Arabidopsis thaliana: one gene and its partner. Each later gene encodes a partner of the first gene's protein in a complex. Links are inferred from orthologs where the notes say so. Each region holds a gene or a part of one and is shown on either strand. Other genes may lie near its edges.

Region 1 (5,695 bases):
GATGGCTCTATATGAATTAGCAGTTTTTGATCCCTCCGACCCCGTTCTTGATCCAATGTGGAGACAAGGTATGTTCGTTATACCTTTCATGACTCGTTTAGGAATAACCAATTCTTGGGGCGGTTGGAATATTACAGGGGGGACTATAACGAATCCGGGTCTTTGGAGTTACGAAGGGGTAGCCGGAGCACATATAGTGTTTTCTGGTTTGTGCTTCTTGGCAGCTATTTGGCATTGGGTATATTGGGATCTAGAAATTTTTTGTGATGAACGTACAGGAAAACCTTCTTTGGATTTGCCCAAGATTTTTGGAATTCATTTATTTCTTTCAGGAGTGGCTTGCTTCGGTTTTGGCGCATTTCATGTAACAGGATTATATGGTCCTGGAATATGGGTATCCGACCCTTATGGACTAACCGGAAAGGTACAACCCGTAAACCCGGCGTGGGGCGTGGAGGGTTTTGACCCTTTTGTTCCGGGAGGAATAGCCTCTCATCATATTGCAGCAGGGACGTTGGGTATATTAGCGGGCCTATTCCATCTTAGTGTTCGTCCGCCTCAACGTCTATACAAAGGATTACGTATGGGCAATATTGAAACCGTCCTTTCCAGTAGTATTGCTGCTGTCTTTTTTGCAGCTTTTGTTGTTGCTGGAACTATGTGGTATGGTTCTGCAACTACTCCCATCGAATTATTTGGTCCTACTCGTTATCAATGGGATCAGGGATACTTTCAACAAGAAATATATCGAAGAGTTAGTGCTGGACTGGCTGAAAATCAAAGTTTATCAGAAGCTTGGGCGAAAATTCCTGAAAAATTAGCTTTTTATGATTATATTGGTAATAATCCAGCAAAAGGGGGGTTATTCCGAGCGGGTTCAATGGACAATGGGGATGGAATAGCTGTTGGATGGTTAGGCCACCCCGTCTTTAGAAATAAAGAAGGGCGTGAACTTTTTGTACGCCGCATGCCTACTTTTTTTGAAACTTTTCCGGTAGTTTTGGTAGACGGAGACGGAATTGTTAGAGCTGACGTCCCGTTTAGAAGGGCAGAATCAAAATATAGTGTCGAACAAGTAGGTGTAACTGTTGAGTTTTATGGTGGTGAACTCAATGGAGTGAGTTATAGTGATCCCGCAACTGTGAAAAAATATGCTAGACGGGCTCAATTGGGTGAGATTTTTGAATTAGATCGTGCGACTTTGAAATCTGATGGTGTTTTTCGTAGCAGCCCAAGAGGTTGGTTTACGTTTGGACATGCTTCGTTTGCTCTACTTTTCTTCTTTGGACACATTTGGCATGGTGCTAGAACCCTCTTCAGAGATGTTTTTGCTGGTATTGATCCAGATTTGGATGCTCAAGTGGAATTCGGGGCATTCCAAAAACTTGGAGATCCAACTACAAAACGACAAGCAGTCTGATGCAACATTGCTTTTTTTCTTCTAGTTTCTGTTTGTTATTTTATTTAATAGGTAGGGTACTGTAGGAATCTTTATTTAAATCGCTGCCGTTTCTTTGACTCTTTTTCTTTCTTTATCCTCCCAAGTAAACAAAACGTAAACAAAACAGGTATGAAAGCTATAATTGTAAACCACGATCAAATTTATGGAAGCATTGGTTTATACATTTCTCTTAGTATCCACTTTAGGGATAATTTTTTTCGCTATTTTTTTTCGGGAACCACCTAAAATTTCAACTAAAAAATGAAATAATTTTTCATTATCTTCATTAACGTAATCAGCCTCCAAATATTTGGAGGCTGATTACGTTAACTAGTCCCCGTGTTCCTCGAATGGATCTCTTAGTTGTTGAGAGGGTTGCCCAAAGGCAGTATATAGAGCATACCCAGTAAAACTTACAAGTAACCCAGATATAAAGATGGCGACTAGGGTTGCTGTTTCCATTATTATAGAATTGAAAGACCACACCGGATCTATGCTAAGATCATTTATTTACAACGGAATGGTATACAAAGTCAACAGATCGTAATGAATACAAAATAAGATTTATGGCTACACAAACTGTTGAAGATAGTTCTAGATCTGGTCCAAGAAGCACTACTGTAGGGAAGTTATTGAAACCATTGAATTCCGAATATGGTAAAGTAGCTCCCGGATGGGGAACGACCCCTTTGATGGGTGTTGCAATGGCTCTATTTGCGGTATTCCTATCTATTATTTTGGAGATTTATAATTCTTCTGTTCTACTGGATGGAATTTCAGTGAATTAGACTGAGAAGAATCTTGAAGTTCTAGCTTTTAGCTCGATACAAAAAAGTAAAGTATGCAGGTCTAACAATTTTAGCCTATTCTCCTTTGGTAGTTCGACCGCGAAATTTTTTTCTGCATTGTATATTTCCGGAATATGAGTGTGTGACTTGTTAGAATTGACCCTATGGATAGTACAGAGAATGGGGTCTGTCATCTTTATCAAGATGGTTTTACTTCGTCGGATATTCATTCGAGTATCTGGAGCACGAAATAGATCAAATAGATCACAAAGTATTCGAACTATGATTCATACTTAAATACTCAAACCTCGTAGCCGGACTTCTTTCCGTTCTATCTTATAAACTTTAATAAATCAAAAAAATTTTCTGCTTTTAAACTCTTATTTGGATCAAAGGACAAACGCTTCTTTGTATTTTATGTTTTTAGTCATTATAGCTTTTTTTTTATTGAATAAGTGATGATCCAATGGTTCTCACTCAGTGAACTTTGGACTTTGAAGGTTTCATTAAATTATCGTGGTTCTCGTATGAATCTGAGGTTTCAATTGATTAGTTAAGTAGGGTCTTAACAAGAGAATTCCTATCAATAATAAAGAAAACAAGAAGAAATCCCTGTCCCCGTTCCATACAAATACCAAATAAAAAAAGACAATAAAGATAGGTAATCTAGAAGATTCAAGAGGCCTGTAACGATCAACACAACATAAAGACGAATGAGCTTACTTGATTTTTTGGCATTTAACCACAAAGACGAGCTTTCGCATTTTGACTCTTTCATATCTTTAAATAATAAAAAATAATATTGAATGAGAGACAAGTTTAAAACTTTATATTCCATATCTGTTTCAATCAGTATTTGGGTCTTTTTTTGTTTGAGCTGTACGAGATGAAATTCTCATATACAGTTCTTGGAGGGGGAGTAACCTTGGTTTACCTATCTCAATAAAGTTTATGATTGGTTCGAAGAACGTCTTGAGATTCAGGCGATTGCAGATGATATAACTAGTAAATATGTTCCTCCGCATGTCAACATATTTTATTGTCTAGGCGGAATTACCCTTACTTGTTTTTTAGTACAAGTAGCTACGGGATTTGCTATGACTTTTTATTACCGTCCAACCGTTACTGAAGCTTTTGCTTCTGTTCAATATATAATGACTGAAGCTAACTTTGGTTGGTTAATCCGATCAGTTCATCGATGGTCGGCAAGTATGATGGTCCTAATGATGATCCTGCACGTATTTCGTGTATACCTCACCGGTGGTTTTAAAAAACCTCGCGAATTAACTTGGGTTACTGGTGTGGTTCTGGGTGTATTGACCGCATCTTTTGGTGTAACAGGTTATTCTTTACCTTGGGATCAAATTGGTTATTGGGCGGTCAAAATTGTAACAGGTGTACCTGACGCTATTCCGGTAATAGGATCACCTCTTGTAGAATTATTACGCGGAAGTGCTAGTGTTGGACAATCCACTTTGACTCGTTTTTATAGTTTACACACTTTTGTATTACCTCTTCTTACGGCCGTCTTTATGTTAATGCATTTCCTAATGATACGTAAGCAAGGTATTTCTGGTCCCTTATAAATAATATAGATTCTAGGTATTTGTACTTACTTATTACTTGGTGAAGGAACGATAGTATTTTATTGCTATAAATATGGATTATTAAAAAAATAAAACATGTATTTGGATATTTCCCTTCAACTCCACAATATTTTATTATTTTTTTGACATAAAAAGTTGAAGGGAATTCTATGAAGAGATAATGGATTATGGGAGTGTGTGACTTGAACTATTGATCGGGCCGTGCAGAAATATTACTTTATCTGCTACATTGGAATTCACAACCAAATGTGTCTTTGTTCCAACCACTGTGTAAGCCCCATACAGGGGATAGGCTGGTTCACTTGAAGAGAATCTTTTCTATGATCGTACCCGACGCTGTCGTGGATGAGTGGGCTCCGTAAAATCCAGTAGATTAAGGGATGGAACAAAATCCTGATTATGTTTTTAGTTATTTTGGACTAAAAAAAAAAAAGAAAATAATTATTAATAGTAATAGTATGTAAATGCATTCATTTTCTCTGCATCGACTCGATTTATGATACTATCGGAGTGAATACAGGATCTAATGAAGAGTAGAGGGTAGACTCCATTAGTAACAAGTAAATCCTTTGTATTTGAAAAATCTCGATATAATTGTTGAGATTAAGGACGAATTTATAAGGTATGAGACGACCCAGAAAGCACTTAATCATGATAAACTTTTTAAGCTTACGTGGGTGTTGAGCATTTACCTGTAAGAATGGAATTTCTTGAATCTTTAGTTGCAATAACTTTGGAATCGGATAATTAATTTTTACATATTAAATTATATTTTTTGTATGTATTCATTTAGTTTGGTTAATTCTTGCTCGAGCCGGATGATAAAAAATTATCATGTCCGGTTCCCTCGGGGGATGGATCCATAAGAATTCACCTATCCCAATAACAAAAAAACCAGATTTGAATGATCCTGTATTACGAGCTAAATTAGCTAAAGGTATGGGTCACAATTATTACGGGGAACCCGCATGGCCCAACGACCTTTTATATATTTTTCCAGTAGTTATTCTTGGTACCATTGCCTGTAACGTAGGCTTAGCGGTTTTAGAACCATCAATGATTGGTGAACCTGCGGATCCTTTTGCAACTCCTTTGGAAATATTACCTGAATGGTATTTCTTTCCTGTATTTCAAATACTTCGTACAGTGCCTAACAAATTATTGGGTGTTCTTTTAATGGTTTCAGTACCAGCGGGATTATTAACCGTACCCTTTTTGGAAAATGTTAATAAGTTTCAAAATCCATTTCGTCGTCCAGTAGCGACAACCGTCTTTTTGATTGGCACCGCGGCGGCCCTGTGGTTAGGTATTGGAGCAACATTACCGATTGATAAATCTCTAACTTTAGGTCTTTTTTAATTCAATTTATTCAATTGTAAAATAAACGACGTGGGTATCTAGGGAGGTATCTAGGGAGTAGTCATTTCCAAATGAATTCTCCCTAGATACATATCTAATTCTAATTAATTTAATTAATTAATTAAAATGGGTTCGACTGGAAAATAGAAATTACGTTGAAATTTGAAAATCCATTTCAATTTCAAATTGACTTTTTAGTCTTAGTCAATTTTTTTTGAAATGTTTTTTCTATTTTTTTTCTAGAATGTCTAATATCTTTTTTACATCTTCTACGTGAAAATGTTCAATTTTGATAAGGTCTTCTTGACTGTTATTCAAAAGGTCCAATAATGTATGTATATTGGATTTTTTGAGACAATTGTAGATTCTGGGAGGCAATTCTAATTGGTCAATAAAAATATATTGAAAGGCTAGTTCTTTTGTTTTTTTTTTTTTTCTTAGGTTAACTAATCGATTATGAAAAGGAAAAAAGGGTAAAGTAACTTGATGTTGATTGTTCT
Region 2 (6,588 bases), on another chromosome or scaffold:
TCAGAGAGAGATTCTTTAAAACCCGGAGAACAGCCAGACGTTGAAGTGTTTATGGTTTTCTCTACAAACTTTGCCATCCACTTAAAAGCCTTACTTTGAGGCCTATATAATATCATACTGTCTTTCGTAATCTGTGGTTTGTTTTTTTCCTCTGTTTATGCTCTCTTATTTCCATCATTGTCTTAAACCCTAAACCCTCGTTTCTCTTTCTCGTTGCTGCAAATCTAAAACGCATAATTGGGCTCCTCAATAAACCCTAAACCAGACAATTCTTGGATCTCTATCCTTGTCTTTTCGTTACTGTTTTGATGCTTCTTGTTTCCTGCTGTTAGGTTTTGGAAACTAGACTACAGTTTGCAGTTTCTTGGCTGGGAAGTCATGTAAAGCCAAATACAGAGACTCTTTAAATCCAAAGACTTGGGTCCAATGGTCGATGGGTCCATATTCGTGATAAGATATAAAGCCCATTTAGTTTTGTCAAGGCCCCAAGTACTGTTTAATGTTGTTGTCTTTCATTATATGTAATTGTATGGTTATGCCATAAAATTGCACTAAACAGTGCATCATGCATATAGACTTATCTCTGTATTTGGTAAAGATAATCCATTTTCTTGAACGTATATCTATATCAAGATTTTAAAGCTTTTTCTAAAAATCTGATTCTAATTTTTGTTAAAACAAATCTTATTAGAGAATGAGATAATCTACTCTAAAACAAGCTATTTTCTTTTCATACTTTCGTTTTCAGGAATAAATCGAGAAAATACAAATTTCATAACACTCAATATCGAGAAAACCCAAGTTTGTGTCCTCGTTAGGTCCGTGAACCCATCTCCATATTCTTCAACCCCCTACGTGGCAATAGATCAAACCGAAGCTATATCAACCAACACGTGATTCATTCTCATCCGTCAGATCAAGATCGATGAAGCCGCGATGAAAGCAAAATTTTCCCGAATAAACCGCGTCGCTTAGTTTAGCCGAATCCTTATCATTCATCACCTGTAACCGTCTCTACCCGTGGAATAAATAAATAAAACCAATCTCTTCTCTAAAATAGCACGCGCCTTTTCACCGCCTATATCCGGTAAATTAATTAAATAATTTACTAATTTTTCTCTCTTGGTATATAAACATACAAGGGCTTTTGTCTTCTTCTTCTTCTTCTTCTCTGTTTCTAACAAAGTTCAGGAGCTCTCGTAAGCCTCTGAATTCGATTTGACCTGACAACCATACAAAAAATTCTCCCGAGAAAATCTCTCTCTCAACGAACGAATTTCGAATCACCAAGAAGAAGTAAGCTCTCTCTCTTTCTCATTCTCATTCTCTCTTATCTTTCAATTTCTCGTAATCAATTTTGTCTTAATCTTTATAGCTTTTCTCGATTTATACAGATTCTGAGATTTGTTTGCGTTTCATCGGAATAATGGAAGTGAAAGTAGCAACAACGACGTCGTTTCATTGGTCAGGACGACACACAGCGATTCCTCAATGTCCGTCATTTTCGCAAACCCTAACTTCATCTAAACGCCGTCGTTCTCGTGGAATAGCCGGTGATGTTTCCGTCGGAGGAGGATCTTTGAGATTAAAACCTTCGACGTTTCTCGGAACACAATCTGGGAAACTTCACCGATCTAAATCATGTGAGCTTTGGCAATTTTCTAATTCCACCACGAAGAAGATTAGAACTGATGTGAAGAAGAAACATAATCCTTTGAGAAGAGTTTGTAGTGCGAGCTCCGGTTTCTTCTCCTCCGACGAAGCATTCTCTGTGAAAATGCAGGAATTAGCTTCACAATTCAGAAACGCAGGCGATGAAGAAGAAGAAGAGAACAAACAGAAATCAGAAGCAGTAGATAACGATAACGATAGCAATAATCATAGATTTGGTTCTTTGAAGCTATTACAAGAGTCTGTTCCAGGTTTAGCTTCTTTGGAAGCTCCATGGGCAGAGATGGTTAACCATTCAAGTATTGAGCGTAAAGCAAACAGTGTTGATTTACCTCTATCACTTAGGATAATAAAGAGGAAGTTACAAGAAGAAGCTCTTAAGAAAGCTAGTGCTACTACTTACTGTTCTATCAATAGAGCTTTTTCTTCTATGGTTTTCATGATTGAGGAGCTTCATAGCTTTGCGTTGCAGACTAGAGTGGGTGTTCTTAAGCAGGTTAAGAAGGAAATGCACGCTTCATTGTTGTGGATTTTCCAACGTGTGTTCTCTCAGACACCTACTTTGATGGTTTATGTGATGATCCTTTTGGCGAACTACACTGTGCATTCAGTTGCATCAAACCTACCTATTGCAGCATCTCCTCCAGTTGTTAATAAAGGTCCGGATCAGACGCAACAAAGGATTGATTTTTCTTCGTTAAAGGAGTCTACGAAGCTTGATGGGTCCAAATGGTTAGGATCGATCAATTTTGACAAGGTTTCCCACTTGCCGAGACATCGAGACTCGGTTTCAGGAGAAGGGATGAGAGAAGAGGAGGTGAGTCTGTGGAATTCGATGGTGGAAGAAGCAGATCAAATGCAAGATTCCTCTGTTGATCGTGACATGAGATTGAGACTTGTTTCACCGATCACTGCAAGGATTGAATTGGATGATTATGCCAATTACACTAGAACTGAGCTTTTATATAAGATAGGTTTGGCTCAAGAGCCTGACAATCATCTGCTCCTAGCTAACTACGCTCAGTTCCTTTACCTCGTTACTCAAGACCATGAGAGGTGAGATATCCTTTTAACCTATTCTTGCATCTAACATTCAAGACTTTATTACCTGTACTTTGAGAAGTATATGCTTGCACTTGACACATTGAGTATCAAAAGATTGGTTATGATTCTATGTAACTCTGGAACTTGACAAATGATGTTTGCTTTTGGTTATGTATTAGAGCGGAGAACTGCTTCAAGAAAGCAATAGAGTCAGAAGATGTAGACGCAGAAACGTACAGCAAATACGCCATCTTCCTGTGGAAAGTTCGGAATGATCTCTGGGCTGCTGAGGAGAACTTTCTAGAAGCTATATCTGCAGACCCTACCAACTCCTTCTACGCCGCCAACTACGCCAATTTCCTCTGGAATACCGGTGGTGAAGAGACGTGTTTCCCTTTAGAAGATTCTACTCAGGAAATGGTTTGAGAAGGAGCGAATGGCAGTGAATGGATGTTGGTTTGTTTGGAGTGAAGAGACAGCGACACGGAACTTAGGTACACGATAGAAGCAAGAGGAAAAGTGTAAGTAGTGTTTTTGAGTGAACCATTGCGGCTGATGAAACATTGCTTCTCTTTGGTTCTTTTTTCTTTTTGCTTTTGCCTAATTTTTCACTCAGTAGTATATACGGTCGCAGATTCCATCGAATAAGAACATGTGTAGATCCAACACTATTACACGAATAATAAACACTGAGCATTGCTTTTGGTGAAATAATAAGTGCGCATATTTGAATCGTTTAATGGAATTTATCTTGTAACTTTCTTCGAGCTTCGTTCATCAGTGTTGTGGCGCTACTCGTAGGAGTCTACTCTAGAGCTTTATATCCCATCTTGTCACAGTTCCTTTTAAAGAAATGGGCCTCGTCGGCCCAATAACAGAAAAAAGGTTTTTAGTTTTGATCAGAGTCTCAAGTTGCAGCAGCTAACAACCAACATGGTCAGGGACAAGATCACACACTTAAAAAAAATCAAGTCGTGTCTCTTCCGCATTCATACATTTCATTTGACAAATAAATTATAAATCTGAAATTGAAGACTTTGACTCTCTGTGCAAATTTCCGTTTAAGAACTTGAGAAGAATATACATAAATTGTGCCAAGATATATCTAAAAACAATTAAACCAAAAAAAATGTATCCAAGTGATTCAAAGAAAAATGTGTGAAGGGAAAAAAGAAAGAGGATAAGACACTTGTGGAGAGCTTGTGCCAAAAAAATCCAACGGCTCAGATTCAACCAACCTCGTTATAATCCCTTCGTAACAAATGCCACACGAAGACACACATACACACACTACCGATAAAGAAAAACCAGAGAAGAGAGAGAGATAACAACAATGGTTTCTTCGCTTCTTATGTCATTTGCTCCGGCCACCGTGAGGGTTTACGCCACAAGCACAAAGGGAGGTTCAGGCGGCCCAAAGGAGGAGAAGAATCCCATCGACTTTGTTCTTGGGTTTATGACAAAACAAGATCAGTTCTATGAGACTAATCCACTTCTAAAGAAGGTGGATGAGAAAGAAGGCACCACCACCGGAGGCCGAGGAACCGTTCGCGGTGGTAAAAACTCAGCTCCGACGCCTGTGCCGAAGAAGAGCGAGGGTGGATTTGGTGGCTTAGGAAGCCTCTTCAAGAAATAGAAGAAAAAAATGTATAGTAATTTGCATTATTCATGCCTCTGTTTTCATTCTCTATAATTCTTCGGATTTCACTTATATATAAGCTACTCTTTCTTAATCTTATTTGACATCACATGATCTAGTTATTTATTTTTCTGAACATTTTCAAGATTAACTCCACTACTTCGAGAAATCTGAGAATAATAGACTAATATGAGTAATGCTAATGCAACTTTTTCTGGAGTACAATGAGTGATGCTGTTGCAACCTTTTGTGGGGGTCTTTAAGATCTTTACACATATCAGTCTGGCTTTTTATACATATGAATCAATTATACACTTTTTTGCCAAGTTAAAGAGACTGTATCTAGCAAGAATACCAAATCTTAAAACACATCCACCAAAATCTATGAGTTATCACCAAAAGTCATATCCCAATATGGTTCTTCAAGTTTGATTCAAGTGTTCTATGCATGCTGGAACCATGGATGCTAAAGGGCAATGGTGATAACCAGATCTGACCTGGAGATACAGAAGGCAGCAAGGAAAGAGCTGATGATCCGTGTTAGATACTGTCTTTATAGCTATAATTGATGATAGAACAGAGTAGTTGTTAACTGGAGCTAGCTTGTGCTGGGAGCAAAAGCTCTTGCTTTCCTTCGACAAAGACTGCGAGTTCTTCTGGTGCAACCACCATGCTTAACCACTTCTGCAGTTCTTCACCTTCTACTTTCTCTTTCTCTGCACCAAAACATGATATTTCATCAGCAAAATCAGCCAGTTGTCACATGAACCAAACTCAAGACAAGGGATATAATCTTTCTCGCAAGCAGTTATATCCTTTAGTGTCCTACATGTTTTCAAAAACTGTTCTGATGAAAACAAATAAACTTATACTACACCTTCAAGTTGAGCACCAAGCCCTTCCAATACATCTGGATTAGCGCGTACAACAGACAGCGCAACATCGAGAGCAGATTGTAACAAAATTGTCACTTCTTTTTGAACAAGATCAACTAGTTTCCCCTGTGTATTAACATGGAAGGTTAACTTTTGCATGGACAATTGGAAATTATAAGACAACCTAGGCAAGTGCATTGCAACATGAAGTTACCTGATCTCTTCCCCATGGCGAGCCTCCAGAATCGTCAATCCCACCACCAGAAAGTGTAGCCACAGACACAGGTCCGATTTTTTGGTTAAGACCGTATTCAGCTACTGCCTTGTATGCCATATCAGTTGCCCGCCTTATATCATCAAATGCACCTGTTGATATACGCCCTGAGTAAACAACTTCTTCAGCTGCACGACCTCCAAGAAGGGTAACTAAACGCCCAAGCAGCTCATCAATGAAGAGTAAATATCTGTCTTCACTAGTAGGAGGAATGTATGTAAATCCCAATGCCCCTCCTGTTCTTGGCAATATGCTTAATTTCTGACAACACCACAAAGATGAGCAAAACTTGAATCATTTGCACGTACTAAACAACATAAACAATGAGCGTAAATGTAGACAAAGTTTTTGCATTTTACCTCAACACGTGGCTGTCCAGTAAGAAGATTTGCAACAGCGGTACCAACCACTGCATGCCCAGCTTCATGCCTTGCGACCACTGCCTTCTCATTGCCTTTTAATCTTGCAGATTTCTTCTCTATGCCCTGAAACAGGTCTTTGTAAGAAAACACATTTTGACAATTGCCTTACGTAATCAATAAAACAGCGAGGTTATAGAGATACCGCTATTGATCGCTCCACAGCTTGAATGAAGTCAATTTTCTCAACGTTCGTCTTGTTCTTTCTTCCAGCTAGCAAGGCAGCCTCATTTACCAAGTTTGCAAGATCTGCCCTGCAAATAGGACAAAAGAGTTTATGAGATATACACCCAAAAACGTATAACTGAATAAACTTCAAATCATTGATAATATACAAAAGCGTACCCCGTGAAACCAGTGGTCATTGAGGCAATACTACCGAGGTTGACATCATCTCCCAAAGGAAGCTCTTTCTTTGACACATGTACTCTCAAAATGGATTCTCTTCCAATTTTGTCTGGCGTTTCCACCTGAAAAATGCATCAGTGCCTTTGAAAAAACCATATTAAACATTTACAAATAGGCAGAGCTGATCCATTCTACCAACCGTAACAACACGATCAAATCTCCCAGGACGACGCAGGGCCGGATCTAAGACATCGGCACGATTTGTAGCTCCAAGAACGATAACCGCAGAATTGCTGTCAAAACCATCCATCTCCTGCA

What was found. Proteins that work in one complex are often made in the same cells at the same time.
Region 2: the proteins of petD (region 1) and AT3G47070 are in contact, whole or in part, in a cryo-EM structure (PDB 9ES9), measured with the Spinacia oleracea proteins. The link is inferred for Arabidopsis thaliana from one-to-one orthologs. Residues at the interface, in NP_054965.1 of Spinacia oleracea: Thr4, Lys6, Pro7, Leu9, Leu18, Ala19, His24, Tyr27, Lys119, Phe120, Gln121, Asn122, Arg125; in XP_056683494.1 of Spinacia oleracea: Asp46, Phe48, Glu50, Thr51, Ile54, Leu55, Arg56, Gly57.

Annotation. Positions count from the first base shown.
Region 1 is NC_000932.1:72,478-78,172, forward strand, and holds petD (cytochrome b6/f complex subunit IV), read left to right. Parts: upstream 1-4,003; coding exon 4,004-4,011; intron 4,012-4,720; coding exon 4,721-5,195; downstream 5,196-5,695. Other genes in the region: psbB (photosystem II 47 kDa protein), read left to right, coding at 1-1,420; psbT (photosystem II protein T), read left to right, coding at 1,605-1,706; psbN (photosystem II protein N), read right to left, coding at 1,772-1,903; psbH (photosystem II protein H), read left to right, coding at 2,008-2,229; petB (cytochrome b6), read left to right, coding at 2,364-2,369, 3,174-3,815; rpoA (RNA polymerase alpha subunit), read right to left, coding at 5,424-5,695. UniProt on the Arabidopsis thaliana protein: Component of the cytochrome b6-f complex, which mediates electron transfer between photosystem II (PSII) and photosystem I (PSI), cyclic electron flow around PSI, and state transitions.
Region 2 is NC_003074.8:17,334,968-17,341,555, reverse strand, and holds AT3G47070 (thylakoid soluble phosphoprotein), read left to right. Parts: upstream 1-3,822; 5' UTR 3,823-4,048; coding exon 4,049-4,351; 3' UTR 4,352-4,942; downstream 4,943-6,588. Other genes in the region: AT3G47090 (Leucine-rich repeat protein kinase family protein), read left to right, coding at 1-44; AT3G47080 (Tetratricopeptide repeat (TPR)-like superfamily protein), read left to right, coding at 1,427-2,727, 2,895-3,141; ftsh7 (FTSH protease 7), read right to left, coding at 4,943-5,070, 5,232-5,355, 5,444-5,764, 5,863-5,988, 6,068-6,176, 6,268-6,392, 6,470-6,583.